Tamandua tetradactyla: one gene and its partner. The protein of the gene in region 2 interacts with the protein of the main gene of each other region in a biochemical or structural test. Links are inferred from orthologs where the notes say so. Each region holds a gene or a part of one and is shown on either strand. Other genes may lie near its edges.

The links. The genes of interacting proteins can lie anywhere in the genome.
Region 1: the proteins of BTK (region 2) and SH3BP5 form a complex in vitro, tested with the Homo sapiens proteins (2 studies listed by BioGRID, with this or other methods). The link is inferred for Tamandua tetradactyla from reciprocal best matches to the Homo sapiens genes BTK and SH3BP5.

The regions. Positions count from the first base shown.
Region 1 is NC_135341.1:73,336,100-73,344,385, forward strand, and holds the start of SH3BP5 (SH3 domain-binding protein 5), read left to right. Parts: upstream 1-5,089; 5' UTR 5,090-5,228; coding exon 5,229-5,375; intron 5,376-7,177; coding exon 7,178-7,240; intron 7,241-8,286. UniProt on the Homo sapiens protein: Functions as a guanine nucleotide exchange factor (GEF) with specificity for RAB11A and RAB25. Inhibits the auto- and transphosphorylation activity of BTK. Plays a negative regulatory role in BTK-related cytoplasmic signaling in B-cells.
Region 2 is NC_135353.1:72,131,627-72,139,820, forward strand, and holds the start of BTK (tyrosine-protein kinase BTK), read left to right. Parts: upstream 1-4,948; 5' UTR 4,949-4,972; coding exon 4,973-5,113; intron 5,114-5,569; coding exon 5,570-5,668; intron 5,669-8,194. UniProt on the Homo sapiens protein: Non-receptor tyrosine kinase indispensable for B lymphocyte development, differentiation and signaling. Binding of antigen to the B-cell antigen receptor (BCR) triggers signaling that ultimately leads to B-cell activation.

The DNA.
Region 1 (8,286 bases), on a different chromosome or scaffold from region 2:
CAGAAATGGGTTGGCTTTTACAACAGGAATTTATTATCTTACAATTTATAGTTCTTAGGCCATGAAAATGCCAAACTCAAGGCATCAACAGGACAATGCCTGGATTCTGAAGACAGGCTGCTGGCATGCGGGACGCCTCTGTCCCATAGGAAGGTACCTGGCCAATACCTGCTGGTCTTTTGCTTCTGTTTTCTGTTGCTTTCAGCTTCTGGCTCCAGTGGTTTCGTCTCTGAGCTTCTGTGGATCCTATCTTAGCTTATATGGAGCTTTTATCTATGAGCTTCTCTCAATTTCATCTTTTATAGAGGACTCAAGTAAGGGGATTAAGACCCACCTTGAATGGGGTGGGTCACATCTTAATTGAAATAACCTAACCAAAAGGTTCCACTTACAACAGGTCTGTACCCTCAGGAATGGGTTAAAAGAACATGGCTTTTTTCTGGGGTACATAACAGCTCCAAACCACCACAGGAAAGCACTTTTTCTTTCTTTCTTTTGCAAAATCTTACTCTCTTGTTCAAGGAAATTCTGTTTATTATTCAAAGTCCAGTGTCAGCTTCTCTATAAAATTATCCTGGCCCTTCAAGGCAGAAGAGTGAGTATGAGCTCCATGTTCACCCAGTGGGTAATGAGGTCCTGCTCAGTTGCCAGGAGTGGAAATGCTGCTCCTTTTCCCACGTGAATGGCCAGCGCGCTCCTTCCATTTCCCAGTCTTTCGGCCCTAAACTCAACCCCACCATTTTGAAGTCAGCAGATCTCCCCACATTCTCTGATTCCTCCATTTCCCAGTTTCAAGAATTTGGGAGAAGTTGCCCTCTTCGCAGAAAAGACCAAGGAGCATTGCAGACACAGTTGGAGGTCCCCTTCACTCGAAGACAGAAGTGACAACCTTTGAACATGGCAGCATTTTCTGTGAGTGCTTAAGTCAATTCACATTTGTCGCCACACCTACAGAAATAAAACACACCCCAAGCATTTCATCTCTCCAAGGTATGAACCAAATAAGGAAAAGGTCTCTCTTTGCCGGAGATCTGCTTGTTTTATAATTTTGGGAGGACAGGGCCCAGATTGTAAGTGCTTTCCACCAATAAGGAGGTGGGGCTACAGGAGAGGTTGATGGAATCCTATGAAAGAAACCAGATCATTGCAAATAAGAACCCACAATGGAGGAATATATAAACATAGTCTCATCCTATCAGATACCATCTCCTCCTTCCTTCCACATATCAGCCCACTATTTTAAATGGCAACGGGGAGCAATGCAGAGGCTGTGATTCTTACCAAGGTAGATTTACAACTTAAGGAAGTGTGGGGCAGTGAACAAACACATATAACATATTTTCCCCCAATGTCTGGACTCAAACAAACTGCAAGGAGGTACTAAAAATAAATTGATCAGGGAGTGCGGAGTCCAAGCAAAGCTGTTCTTAAGATTTCTGTTTCTTAACAGCCGTCCCATCTTTGCCCACACCGTACAGTGTGTGGCTGCCTCAATACACGTGTGCCATTCCCGCTCAAGGCCCACCCAAAGCCTGACAAGGAGAGGTGTGTTCTTGGAAACCACACTCCCAGCAAAGCATTACAAAGTTGGTCATTTCCTCCGCAGGAGCAGTGTTCTAGTTTGCTAGCTGTCGGCATGCAACACACCAGAGACGGACTGGCTTTTAATAAAAGGGGATTTATTTTGTTAGTTCTTCAAAGGAAAGGCAGCTGACTTTCATCTGAGGTTCTTTCTTACGTGGGAAGGCTCAGGGTAATCTCTGCTGGCCTTCTCTCGAGGCCTCTGGGTTCCAACAACATTCCCTGGTGGTGATTCCTTTCTGCATCTCCAAAGGCCTGGGCTGAGCTGCAAGTGCTAAGATGAGGTATGCCGAGCTGCTTGGGCTGTGCTATGTTGAGCTCTTTCATTTAAGTACCAGCCAATTAAGTCAAACATCATTCATTGCAGCAGGCACGCCTCCTAGCTGACTGCAGATGTAATCAGCAACAGATGAGGTTCACATACCATTGGCTCATGTCCACAGCAACAGAACTAGGTGCCTTCACCTGGCCAAGTTGACAACTGACTCTAACTACCAAAAGCAGCATTCTCATTGGCATAGGAGTTGGGAAAATCTAGATTCTAGAAAATAACCAGTGATACACCAAGTGAGCTACTCCTTATGTAACCATTTCTTCAATCATTTAAAGTTGTTTAATTATATTTATATTCATCTAAAATGGGTATGAATGTACTGTGCCTGAAATACTTCACCAATGGCCAAGAAGAGTCCTGGGGGTATGTATTTTTCTAGTGAGGAGGGAAGTAGAAGGTTGAAATTCAGATTTAAAATAGACAATGCAAACTAGAATATACATTTCCTCTAAATCAGTAGTTCCCAGACTTTTTGGTGTCTGGATCCCTTTATATTCTTAAAAATGATTTATTAGAGGATCTCAAAGAGCTTTTGTTTATGTGGTTACATCTCTTGGCCATTACCGCATAGAAATGAAAACTGAGATTTAAAAAACAATTATTGAGCAGTGCAATGGTGGCTCAGTGGCAGAATTCTCATCTGCCATGCCAGAGACCCAGGTTCGATTCCTGGGGCCTACCCATGCCAAAAAAAAAAAAAAAAAGAAAAAGAAAACAACAACAACAACAACAAACAATTATTAAGTCATCTAAAAGTAATAATAATAAGTCCATCACATGTTAACATAAATATGATTTTGTGACAAATATCTATTACAAAACAAAATAGTGAGAAGAGAGGCAATGTTTTATGTTTTTGCAAATCAGATCCATTCTCATATCTGCTTCTGCATTCAACCTGTTGTGATGTCACATGTCCTGTAGCTTATGGAAATCTCCAATGCTCACTCATGAGAGAATGCGAGAGAAAAAGGCAAATATTGTCTTAGAATTAGTATGAAGCAGTTTTGACCAGAAGGATATTCTGCAAGGTCTCAGGGACCTCCAGGGGTCTCTAGGTCATCCTTTCAGAACCACTCCTCTAGATCGATATGCCAGCTAAAGTAAATATTTAAGCATTTTACATAATAGCATGGCTTGCCTTCTTAGTATGTGTGGTAGGCAGAATTATAAGATGGTTTCCATTTCCTGTCTCCTGTTGTGCAAACCCCTGTGTAATTTCTGGGGCTTGTGAATATGGTGAGGTAGTTGTTCCTTCATTAGATTAGGTATATGCTGCAGCTGACTTAAAGAATTGAAGACTCTCCTGGGTGGATCTGGCCTAATCAGGTGAGCTCTTAAAGCTAGGGACTGGGCTCTTCCTGAAGAAGAGATTGAAGTATGTGTGAGATTTGACACGGGGATTCTTTGTTGCTGGTTCTGAAGATGGAGAGAGCCACATGGCAATGAATGAAGGTGGCTTCCAGATGCTTAGTCCTACAACCACAAAGAAATAAATTTGACCAACTACCTGAATGGTCTTAGAAGTGATGCTTCCCTAGCCCTAGAACCTCCAGAAAGGAATGCAGGCTGGACAGCACCCTGATCCAGCCTGTGAAATCCTGAGCATACAGCCCAGTAATGCCAGGTCAGAACTTCTGACCCATAGAGCCATGAGATAACAAAAAGCCAAAAGCAACTATGCTTTTAGCAAGGAACTTCAAAACATCTCTCACAGAATTGTGGACTCTCCCCAGATTTAAAGAGCTATGAACAGGTCAAAGCAGAGGAGAAGGGAGATGATGGTGTGGAGAGGAACATGGAGCCTCCAAATGAAAATCCAAATATTGACAGCAGCATTCTCCTCAGAAGAGAAAGACCTTTACAATGGGGATCAATCACTATTAAGCTTCTACTACAGTGATCTTTACAGAAACAAGCCTATAGCATAGACCTGTACTATTTGCAGGAACAGGACAAATCTTTGAGAGTGGACCACAGTGTCAACAGATAGGGTGGCACCTTGCCCCAGGAGTAACATCCTCAAGTTAGCTTCTGGCAAAACCAGAAGCAGGTTTTTCCAGGTGGCTTTAACCCCAGGCTCTCAGAAAGAAGGTCCTAAGGAAGTTTGTCCTCCAAACTCACAGAGCCCATTGGCCACAAGCTTCCATGCACGAAGCATATACTTTCTCCATTTTGGTCGAGAAGGAAACATCAGGAGTGATGAGTGGCAATGTCCCTAGCCTGCTTTCCCTAGGCAGTCTGACCTTGTGTTCCTGATATCACAGTGGCCCTGACATTTCATAATAACGCATGCATGCCCTTTCGGTTGTTTGGCCTTTTGTGGTGATGAGTTTCCCAGGTAAGCTTTGGCATCCCACTTATTGAGGGTGGACAGGGCATCTCATCAGTTCATAAATCCTTGGCTAGAGTGTGTCCATCAACAGGGAATACACTCGGGGCGTCCTTGGAAAGGCTGTATCATCCCACCCACTTCCATGTTCAATGGGTTCTCAATGTTTCATGGCTATTCAGGTAGGACTATCACACACCTATGAAAGTGCAGGAGATTGGTTTGTGCTCCAAGCCTCCCAGTGGAGGACACTGTCTTGGGGAGAGGAATCCATGCATGGACCTGCAGCCGGCTCCTCTCTTTGTACTTTTGCATCTGCACAGAGCATATGTTTCCGTTCTTTTTTTCTGAGGAAATCTCCAAGTAGAGGCAATTCACAAGGTTCACCCAAAGGAAGAAAGATGCTTTGGGTACAAGGGTTTGAGTGGGTCTTGAAACTGGCCCAGGGGCATTGAGCACAGGTCTCCAAAGGTGACTTCTGAGAGTGGAAATGTCCCAAACGTTCCTCCCATACCCTAAACCTATCTTGGCTGAGTTTAGCCACCCAGAAAGCAGGGGGCTAACGCAGGGTGTTTTGTCATTTATTCGGGCTGCTAAGTTAAAAGTGGTGGTGGTGGTGGTGGGGACGCTCCTGTTTCATCAGCCTAGGGGTTGTCAGGAAACTGGGGTTTTTGTGACGGAGGCCCGGGTAATGGGGACCAGTAGATGAATGGTGTCAGGGCCGCGCCGAGGGGCGGCCCCGGCGGGACGAGGGCGGAGCGGGCGGCGTTGCGCTGACGGCCGCGGCAGAAAGGGGGCGGCCGCGCCCATTTCCACCGCTGCGCTCCGCCTCGGCCCGAGGGCTCCGCGGCGGCGAGCGGCGCCTCCCGGACGGTGGCACGGAGGCTCGGCCCAGCCTGCCGCGGCCGCGACCCCCTCGAGGCGCTGTAGAGCCCACCGCGAGGTTCGGGTTCGGCCGCAGCGCCCCGCACCTCCGCCCACATGGAAACGGCGTTGAAGCGGAGCCGCTCCGAGGAGCCGGCGGAGCTATCTCCGCCTGCCCGGGACGTGGAAAAGGAGGAGGAGGAGGAGGAAGAGGGGATGGAGCAGGGGCTGGAGGAGGAGGAAGAGGTGGACCCCCGGATCCAGGTACGGCGCGCGGGGGTCCCCTGGGATCTCCTCTCCGCAAGGGCTGCCGCGGAGGTCGGCGTCTACACCTCCACTCCGAGGATCCGCACGCAGCCCCTAGTGTCCGCGGTCGGCGGGGTCGCAGTCGCGTAGATCCTAGGGCTGCAAGAGGGGGTGTGAATACACCGTTTTCAAGCGCCCCCGCCTCTCCGGGGGGGCTGCAGTGCCCGCGTGGATGCGGCCTGACTACGTCGCGAGGGCCCCCCCCCCCCCTTTCCCCGCAAACTCTCGGCGGGATCTTGGGGGTTCGGGCGATGGGCAACAAAGGGAAAAAGGGACAGAGGAGCCATTGCCCTTTCCGGGGTACCCCCCGCGTCAGGCTCCCGGCGCCGCGGGTATCGCGCAGGCGACGGCAGAAGGGATTGCCCGGCCCGCGTGGGCTCTGGGGGCGGGCCCGGGAGCTCGACTGGGTGGGCGTTGCCCGCCCCTGCAGCGTGGGCTGGCGCCGGTGCCATGGGTTCGCAGCCCCCACCTGGCCGAAGTCACCGGCCAGAGTCGCCTCTCTCCTCCTTTGAGTCATTGTCAAGAAACGGGGGGCGGGGTAGTGTCCCCGCTGGTTCAACCCTCCGCTTGGCCTGAAATGGTTTCAAGCCCTGGTTTTCCTTGTTGTGAGGTCGGTTGTGAACAGAAATCAGGAACAAGTGATGCGCAGTGCTGACGCGTGCAGGCGGTGAGGGGGTTGGCCTGCCTTTCTATGCCTCCATTTCCAAGAGGGATGATTAAAAAACACTTTACAAGCCGACATCTATGAATGACAACTTAACCTCTGCACCCGCTAAGCAGAAACACAGCAAATCCCCCTTTCCAAGATCCGTTTTACTCTCCCCTTTCCATAAATCTTTTCTTTTTTATTTTTTTAAATATATATATTGCTAAAAAGCATGCTGTGCAGTTTTTGGAGCCCTAATTGATTTTTCAGCGCACAGATCAATTAAAAGCTCATTGAACTCAGTGGTTGGGGTTTAAATGAATTGTTTTTCGGCCGTTTAGCAAGATAAAGATCAGGTGGAAAAAGCCTTGAATTAGGAATGATTCGATTAATTCAAATCATCAGTTTGGGTTGCTATAGCTTCTGTTCTTGCTGGGAAATCCTGTTATCGAGATCCTTTGTTTGCAGAGCAGAGCAAAGATGAGTTAAGTTCGTGCTCCTTACTTTTTTTTTTTTTACAAATGTTAGATTGCAAATATTAATTTAAAGGATTGGGATTAAAACTAGTTAACTAGAGGTAGGTAGGTTGAATAATTGGCAGTTTAGAAAAAAAAGGGAATTTCATCTCTTTACCAAAAAATAATCAACCACAGATGACATGCCAGCTGTCTGTCCAGATTTAAATGATTTCACTGGGTTTAATATCCTTTTGGCTTGGCCAGGTTTTAAAACAAAATTTTTTAAATGCTTATTTCTTCCCTCTATGGCAGAAGGTACTGTTTTGATTCTGCCACTGAACTGCTTATAACAGGTGAGTTTACCTGAAGGCACCCACCTGAAATGGATATTTGACCTTATAGGAAAAGACAGATAATTCCTAGGCCCTTAAGCCATTTTTAAAAAGGATATCATCAAGAAAAAAACTTCAGAAATGGGACACTCATTTGCTTTTCCAGACAAGGCCCCCCTTTTTCCCTTGAGAATGAATACCACCTTTCCCCTCTTCCACAAAATTGTGCCGGGATCATTGTTTTCAGGTTATGGGCTGAGTTATTTTGGAAACAAAAGACCGATGCCTCAAATCTTTTTTCTCCCCCTTTCCTTCCTTCACTAGGGAGAACTGGAGAAGTTAAATCAATCCACGGATGATATCAACAGACGAGAGACTGAACTTGAGGTACAGAAAGCTGGGTCCCTTTTCTGGGTGTCGTGGTGTCAGTTACGCTGACAGTTCATTTTGCTGTAATAGCTGGAGGGTTATTTTGGAGGCCCTTCCTTGGGAATGGAGCCCGGTCTGTGGGCTGAAAGCCTGTGGATCCAATTTCACATGTTTTTCATTATGGAAGCTCCACCGGGCCCAAACCAATGGCTGTGTGAAGCACCGGACATGCTTAAGCCCCCAAATTTAATGTGTCTCTGGAAAAGTTGAAGAGACTGAGGGGAAAATGAGCTGAACTCTTTCATGTAGAGTAATGAATGAGCTCACAAAATCTCTTAAATGTTTAGGGGCTGTTCCTTCCATTTGTACTTGGAGCTGTTTGGTGTTTCCTCAGACTTACACCATGTTTTGACTTTTCTACCCTAATAATTCACCCCCCACTTCTACTTTCCTGCTCATTTCTTTATCCTCTCCTTGTGTATAGAATATAATTATCTTAGTGGTTTAAAAAAAAAAGTTGTTTAGACTGGGAAGGGCTTTCCTGCTGGGAAAAATCTCAGGGGAGGCAGCCTTGATTTGAATTTCATGAGCGTTTTCTGACCTGAGTGTAAACAGAGTAGCATTCTTAACAGCTGCCAATTAGTCCCCACCCCTGTTGGGTAATGGTGGATTCTACCCTCCTTCAGCAAACCTGAACGACCTCTGTGCATCTACGAGCGGGAGCTCTTGGGATGCTGGGAGCCACCCGGAGAACCCGTTTTTGTAGCAGTAGCAGGAGAAATAGCAACAGAGTTCCCACAGAAAGGACAGGAAACATCTGGGCTTGTCACCAGTCCTTAAGAGTGAGGGTCCAGGAGAACCTAGCCACGTGCCATCAGATGTGGTAGCGTGTGCTACGTGGAACTATTTGAATTTACATTTAAATAGATTGAAATTCAATAAGATTAAAAATTTAGTTCCTCAGTCACAATAGCCAAGATTGCCTAGCACAGAGAACACTTCCATCGTCATCGAAAGTTCTGTGCGGTGCGGGCCTGGACGGTTGGGGAAGGCAGGGACTACCT
Region 2 (8,194 bases):
CATCCTTATCAGCCTGAAGGAATTTTGAAAGGAAAATTCTCCAGAACCCTGACTTCTCTTGCTATCCCCCAACACACACCCGCCCCCTTTTTTTTAAACCACTATTTCCTCCCTTGCGGAATGTTCCTAAAAGATGCAAAGGGGTCTGTGCTAATTAGTCTTTGATGATAGCCATTGGAAATGGCAAGTGCTGAGGTATATGGCATCACACATCATACTTCACCAAAGACTCCACTGGGAGTCCACAGAAAGAGCAAGGGCTATGGAATCACATATGGATGGTGCTGAGCAAGTCACTTAACTTCTCTGAGTCTCAGTTTCTTCATGTTTGTTGTGAGGAATAAATGAGATAATGCATGCAAAATGCCTTACAGGTAGACTGCACTGAGAGAAACAGTACAGTAGTTCCTTTCCATTCCGCTGAGGAGAGAAAGGGAATAGCCAGAGTCTTGCTACTCAAGTAAGCAGTATTTTAAAGAAGAGGAAATACTGCCTCTTGGATACTCTGGTTAGATAGTTATCAATTGAACTACTACTGGCTGGTTACTTCTTTTTTTTTTTCTTGGGAAGTTTTTAAATTTTTTATGACAAAAACTTCTCACAACATACAAATATTTACAACATGTACATTACTTTCAGTTCTTCACACTGAATTTCAAGGTTAAACATTTTTATAGATTACCACATAACAAAAGCTATGATTCTTGTTTTTATTTCATTAACTATTATAAGTTAAAGTGAATAGAATTTTAAATATTCCTTGTAGCATTTTACAAGTGCAACAGAAAACTTACAGAACCAAATTAAGATAGTTATAGTTCATCAGATAAATATTGCATATTGTCATCACATTATTAACAATAATTTTTGAAAAAATAAGCACCAACCATTCTTTCAAAGAACACATTTTTAAAAATTTTTTATTTGAGAAATCGTCACACACATACATTCTATACATGGTATGCAATCAATGGCTCACAATAACATCACATAGTTGTGTATTCATCACCATGATTATTTTTTAGAACATTTGCATCACTCCAGAAAAAGAAAGAAAAAAGAAGAAACTCATACATACCATACACCTTACCCCTCCCTCTCATTGACCACTAATGTTTCCATCTACCCAATTTATTTTAACATTTGTCCCCCCTATTATTTATTTATTTTATATCCATACTTTTTACTCAACTGTCCATTCTGGGGATATAAGAAACACCGGACGTAAGTTTCTCACAATCACACAGTCACATTGTAAATGTTATATCTTTATACAATTGTCTTCAAGAATCTAAGCTGCTGGAACACAGCTCAGCAGTTTCAGCTACTTCCCTCTAGCCACTCCAATACACCAAAAACTAAAAGGGGTATCTCTATAATGCATATGAATAACCTCCAGGATAACCTCTTGACTCTGCTTGAAATCTCTCAGCCAACAAAACATTGTTTTGTCTCATTTCTCTCTTCCCCCTTTTGGTGAAGAAGACTTTCTTAGTCTCTTGATGCTGGGTCCCGGCTTATCCCAGGCTTTCTGTCCCACATTGCCAGGGATATTTACACCCCTGGAAGTCATGTCCCATGGAGGAGGGAGGGCAGTGAGTTCACCTGCTGAGTTGGCTTAGAGAGAGAGGCTACATGAGAGCCACAAAAGAGGTTCTTTGGGGATGACTCTTAGGCCTAATTTTAAGTAGGCCTAGCCTATCCTTTGTAGCAATGTTTCATAGGGGTGAACCCCAAGATCAAGGGCTCAGCCTGTTGATTTGGTTGTTCCCACTGTTTACAAGAATATCAGAAATTCTCCAAATGGTGAGGTTAAATATTTCCTCCTTTCTCCCATTCTCCCAAGGGAACTTTTGCAAAGAACAATTTTATTTAAAAGGATTGAAAAATATTAAATACAAGGCCTTTAATTTATATGACAAGCCATAAATACACTGTATGAAAACATCCTGCATACTGTTACCCTTGTATATATACTGTACTGAACAATGACCCACCACACATGTAATTGTACTTTTTTCTTTTAAGAAACCAATTTGACTCCTACCAATGGCTTGCTACTTTACTGAAGGCCACAGTGGTCTCATTCCAATCATAGGCAGGCTGTATAGTTTTGTAGATTTTGCTTTGGTGTTGTCTTTAATAGTGTTTTATCTTAACACGAGCAAATGTAGGAGCCAGTTTAGTTGACTGATTCTGCAAGTGCTATTTATATTAATTCTTTGGCATAGTGCAGTTGATTTGATGGCTGAACCCTTTCTAATAAGCATCTTCTTTCTGAATTCTGTTGCTCTATAGGGAGCTAGAAGCTGCAAAAGGTGATCATGTGAAAATCCTTGTATTGTAGTTCAACAAAGAGAATATTATAACACTGGAACTCTGTATTTTAATTAAAGAGCTCTGTGTCTGTCTATAATTTTCCCTTCCCCTCTTTCTTTCTCCATATGAACATGGTCTGTATGTTTGCGTGTGCATCTGTGTGTATAATGTTCACATCACTTCTGTTTTCCACCCTTACTCCCTAAGTGAGGCACAGGGCCAGTCCTGTCTATGCATCTCTTGTGGTCGAGTTGGATCTGTAGGCTGCTGAAATTGTTAGAAAAAATTGGGGAGTTCCACAATAAGTATCTTAAGAAGCCACAACTATCTCTAACTCAGAGCTGTCCATTACATGTTAACCGTGGGGAAGACATAAAGATGGATGCCTCTCCTTTCACATTCTTGGTGAAACGACCAGTGGTGACTAAGAAAGAACTACCATATTTCCAGGCTACATGTGTCTAGACTGGTTCATAAAGAATAAGGAAAAAGTAAAAAAAAAGAAGGGGGGGATAGGGAGGGGTGTGTGTGGGTGGGATACCAGGTCCTTGAAATCCTATTGAACAGCATGATGTAGAGGTGGAAGCCATTTCATCCATTGCTCAGTAAGGCGATGGCTAATGAGAGGTTTACTTCCTCAGACCCTACCCCAACACAGACACTTGGAAAAGATGAAGGCTTCCTTTTGTACAAACTGGATTTGTTCTAAAAAGAGAAAGAGCAGAGGCAGTTTCCAGCAGGATGTGTCTTGTAGAAATAAGAGCAGAGACCAAGACCAAAGCAGATGCTGGATCTGAGCAGGGAGTTTGCAACAAAACTAAAGGTAACAAGCTACGTGTGCTTTACTAAAAGAAAACACAACTGGATGTGGTTTCTGATTCTGTTTACTGATCAGGCTACTCAATTCCTTTAGGGCTTTATTTTATCTTCTGTAATTTGAGTTTTTTATTTTGAAAGGGTACTTTTTTGAAATTTGTCATGGAAGCAAATGTGATTTTACAACAGGGATCTCAATGAGTTGGCAGCTCCTGAGAATAGAGTGTAATTATTGGTTTTGCCATTACTTCTATGTAAATGAATAGTTCTAATGTTAAAAGGAAGTTCTTTGGAGTTTCAGCTGAATCTGAATGTTAGAAAGGACTCTGATTGGTTGGAAACAATATCAATATGTCATTTCAATCAAAGGCCAGGGAATCAGGGAAGAGAGGTGTTGGTCAGGGAATGGGGAAAGTTTTGCTCCCTTGTGCAATTTTTCTGAAAATATGATTTGCAAAATATTGAACTAATCCACAACCATAAGATAAAGGAGGGTAAGTGGCAAAGCAAACATTCTGAACATTCCTGGTGTTTCTTTAATCATTTTGTCTCCTCAGTATGATCGTAGAACCTTCTACACCTTAGAAAAAAGCAGAATAATGAAAAAAAAAAGAGTAAAATAATGGCACATATTGCTTTGAACTTTGAAAATAACCACTTTGCTTGACAGTAGAGAAAAATTGCCAATTTTATTTTGTTTCCATAGTGCCACCAAAAGCACAAGGAGTTTGGTTCAAATAATAATAATAAGCCTCACCCCTCCATAGGAAAAATTATCCACCTCTAGCAAAATTTGGATGGGAAGAGGGACTGGTGATTTTTCAGTACTTATTGGTGCTCTATTTTTTGTGATAATATTTAAGCTTTCACTTTGTCTTTCTAATGAAAGTTTGGAATTAGTAATATAAGATTGTGCATTAACTTAAAGTGAACAATTGATACAAAGTTTTGTTTTGTGTAAATAAAAAAAGTTTTGATGTCAAACAAAAAAGTTTGATGACTTTCTTTGCCTTTCTGTATTTCAGTTACTTAAACTGAAACTTTCTGTAATATTGTAAGTTTGGAGAAGGCTAAACAAGGACTTATTCTTCATAAATGATCAGAGACAGCAGTAAGATAGTTGCAATACCTTTGCGTGATGTTGTCTAAAAGAACTAATCAAAGCAAAAAGAAAAAAAAGCCAAAGGTCAAGAACAGAAACAACCATATCCCCACTGAATTTTTTTTTCAACTTTAGAGCAAAGCTTCCATCCTTTGTAGCTCAGTAGGTGATGGGCAAAATCAGTTGGGTGGCAGGTAGTGTTTGTCCATAACTACAGGTGCAGCCTCCTTATCCTTATTAGACCTCTTGGTTACAGACTCTTAATAGGACACAATTTGAAAAATTAAATTCACTGTCTAGGAAACTGGGAACTGAGGCTTCAATATCTCCCTCCGTGAAGTTCTGGCACTTACATTATCCCTTCTGGGATTTTTAGGGTCAACAGTTACACAGACTTTTGCTGTTCACAGATCTTCTTCCATGTACCATAAGAGTGATTAGCGTAAAGTTGTCTCTGGACATTGCCAAGGACACAGGTACATGCCACTTGACATCCAGAGCAATTCATTGCCTTACATGAAGACACAATGTAGGACCAAACTCCCCAATTCAATATCCATTAAACGCAAAAACTGACAGAGCTGTTGACTATGAAAGGAGGATACCAAGGTAGGGTTTTCATGGTCTGTTTCATTCAAAACCAGGGTTAAACTGAGGTAGGGGTGAGGATTGATGTACTGGATCCTCAGAAACTGTTATTATCAACAGCACACAAGTGAGCTCCAGAAAGAAGCTATGGCTGCAGTGATCCTGGAGAGCATCTTTCTCAAGAGATCTCAGCAGAAAAAGAAAACATCACCTTTAAATTTCAAGAAGCGTCTCTTTCTCTTGACCGTGCACAAACTTTCCTACTATGAGTATGACTTTGAACGTGGGGTAAGTTTTTCTGCTGTGAAACCTGAATTTCAAGGGGTTGGTCTTAGAAATTCCTTAGGGAGGAGGTAGTAAGAGCAAGGTAAAATGGACCTAAGTACAATTAAACTTAGCAAAACTCAAGAGAAGTCATGATTAAAGGCGGTGGGGGATGGATCTTAACATGGAATCTTGTAATTGGTGAGCATTCATTAAATGATTGTTGAGAATGGAATCCAAGAGTTGGAAATTGCTTCCTTATTTCTTATGATAAGGCACACACATCCACTCTTCTATAGTGTTTGTCCTCCATCTGGTTGTCAAAATGGGTTAGATTAATACTTTCAAGATGACAGGTCCTGATATAGAGTGTGGGTGTCACCTCACTATGTAGAATGATTAGATAACAAAATCTAATCATCTGGTTGCCCAATCACCCTTAATCTCTTTCTCCATTTTCTTCCACATTCTCTTTCTCAGAGAAGAGGCAGTAAAAAGGGTTCAATAGATGTAGAGAAGATCACCTGCGTTGAAACAGTGGTTCCTGAAAAAAATCCGCCCCCTGAAAGACAGATTCTGGTAAGAAGAGATGATTGTTTGACATAGAGAAAGAGAGAGCGTGAGATTTTAAGAAATTTGGAACATTTAGATTTTCTGTAAGTAATCTAGTGGTGCTGTGAAACACAGTAAAATGCCCTTACAAAGTTCTTCACTCTACCACATATTGATTATACTCTCAGCATCTTTCCCCCAGATATTTAGATCTAGATCATTTAACCTAGAAAACTTCTAACTTCCTGTTTCAAAATGCTGTTATATCTAGTTTTCAACCTGGCCAGAGATAACAGTTACTGGGCTCAGAATCAGAGGTTTGAGATAGTCTGAATGCAAGAATCCTAAGGCTCTGAGTAATAGGAGATGCACTGATATCTTACTGTTTATTCTCCCCTTGTTTCCCAGAATCTTTCTGGTGCATAACACCCAGTGACTGCTAAGTTGAGTTTTTTATTTTTTCATATTTTTATTGATAAATCTTCACATACGTACATTCCATATATGGTGAAAAATCAGTGGCACACAGTCTCATCACATAGTTGTGTATTCATCACCACGATCATTTTTTAGAACATTTGCATCACTCCAAAAAAAGAAATTACAAGAAAAAAGAAAAAACTCATACATACTATACCTCTTACTCTCCCTCCAATTTGTTTTTAACATATCACTTCTTTCCAGATTATAACAGTAGTGTATGTTTATTAAGAAAATCTGAAAACTATTTTAAAATGATAAAAAAGTAAATACAGTCATTTATAATATTATCACCCAGCTAAAACAGTTATATCTATACAGACTTACAAAATGTTTCTCTCTAACAACCATGTATACACAAACTCAATTTACACATACATTCAGTTTCATATATATGATAAATATTTAAACATAAAATTGCCTTTGTAATTTACTTTCTCAATTTAACAATATATGGTAACTGTTTTCCCGTGACATTAATTATCTTTAATAACATGATTTTAATGACTGCATTGTATTCCCTATTATAGATATATAATAATTTGATTATCTAATCTCCTGTTACTACACATTTAGGTTGTTTCCAATGATTTGATATTATAAACTATGTTGAGAGAAGTATCCTTGCAAACATTTTTGGTTGCTATTCTTATAATAGAATCCTAGAAGAGAAATTTTCTTTTTCTTTTTTTGTGAAATTGGCACACTTGGTTATTTTTATGTCTTTATTCTATTTTATTTCCTGGAAGTGGAATTTGAATTTCATGCAGTTCTACTAGCTGTGTATAAGAACTCTTATTTTTCTACATTCTTTCCAATACTTGGTATTATAATTTATTTTAAACGTTAGTCAGTTTGACAGCCAGAAGAAATAATATTTCATTGCTGATCTATCCTGCAATTTTTTTAACTTTTTTTATTAAAAAAAATTAACAAACAAAACATTTAGATATCATTCCATTCTACATATACAATCAGTAATTCTTAATATCATCACATAGTTGCATATTCATCATTTCTTAGTACATTTGCATCGATTTAGAAAAAGAAATAAAAAGACAACAGAAAAAGAAATAAAATGATAAGCAAAAAAAAAGACTATACATACCATACCCCTTACCCCTCGCTTTCATTTACCACTATTTCAAGCTGAATTTATTTTAACATTTGTTCCCCCTATTATTTATTTTTATTCCATATGTTCTACTCTTCTGTTGATATAGTAGCTAAAGGGAGCATCAGACATAAGGTTTTCACATTCACAGAGTCTCATTGTGAAAGCTATATCATTGTTCAATCATCATCAAGAAAAATGGCTACTGGAACACAGCACTACATTTTCAGGCAATTCCCTCCAGCCTCTTCACTACATCTTGAACAACAAGGTGATATCTACTTAATGCATAAGAATAACCTCCAGGATAACCTCTTGACTCTGCTTGGAGTCTCTCAGCCATTGACACTTTGTCTCATTTTACTCTTCCCCCTTTTGGTCGAGAAGGTTCTCTCAATCCCTTGATGTTAATTATCAGCTCATTCTACGGTTTTTCTCAGTCCCTTAATGCTGAGTCTCAGCTTATTCCAGGATCTCTGTCCCACGTTGCCAGGTATCCTGCAATTTTATACTACTAGTAAGGTTCAACAATTATTTATATGTCTACTGCTTATTTACATATTTTCATTTGTGAATTACCTCTTAATGTTTTGCCCATTTTTCTATTAAGATGTTTACCTTATTCTTGATAATTTTAAGAGATCCTGACATATTAAGAATATTAATTCTTTAACTACAATATATGTTGAAAATATTTTTCCAGTTTTTCCTGTATGATTGATTTTGTTTATGGTTTTTTTTTGCTATATTGGGTTTTAAGGTCTATGTCATCACATTAGTTGATCTTTTTCTTAATAGTTTTAACCTTTAGCATTATATTAGAAAGGCTTTACCTCCAACAAGATTATATAGTCATTTATGTTTTTCTCAGTCTTTCATAGGTTCATTTTTTATGTTAAGCTCTTTGAGCTATCTAGACTTTACTTTAGTATATGGTATGAAATGGCTACTTAACTCCC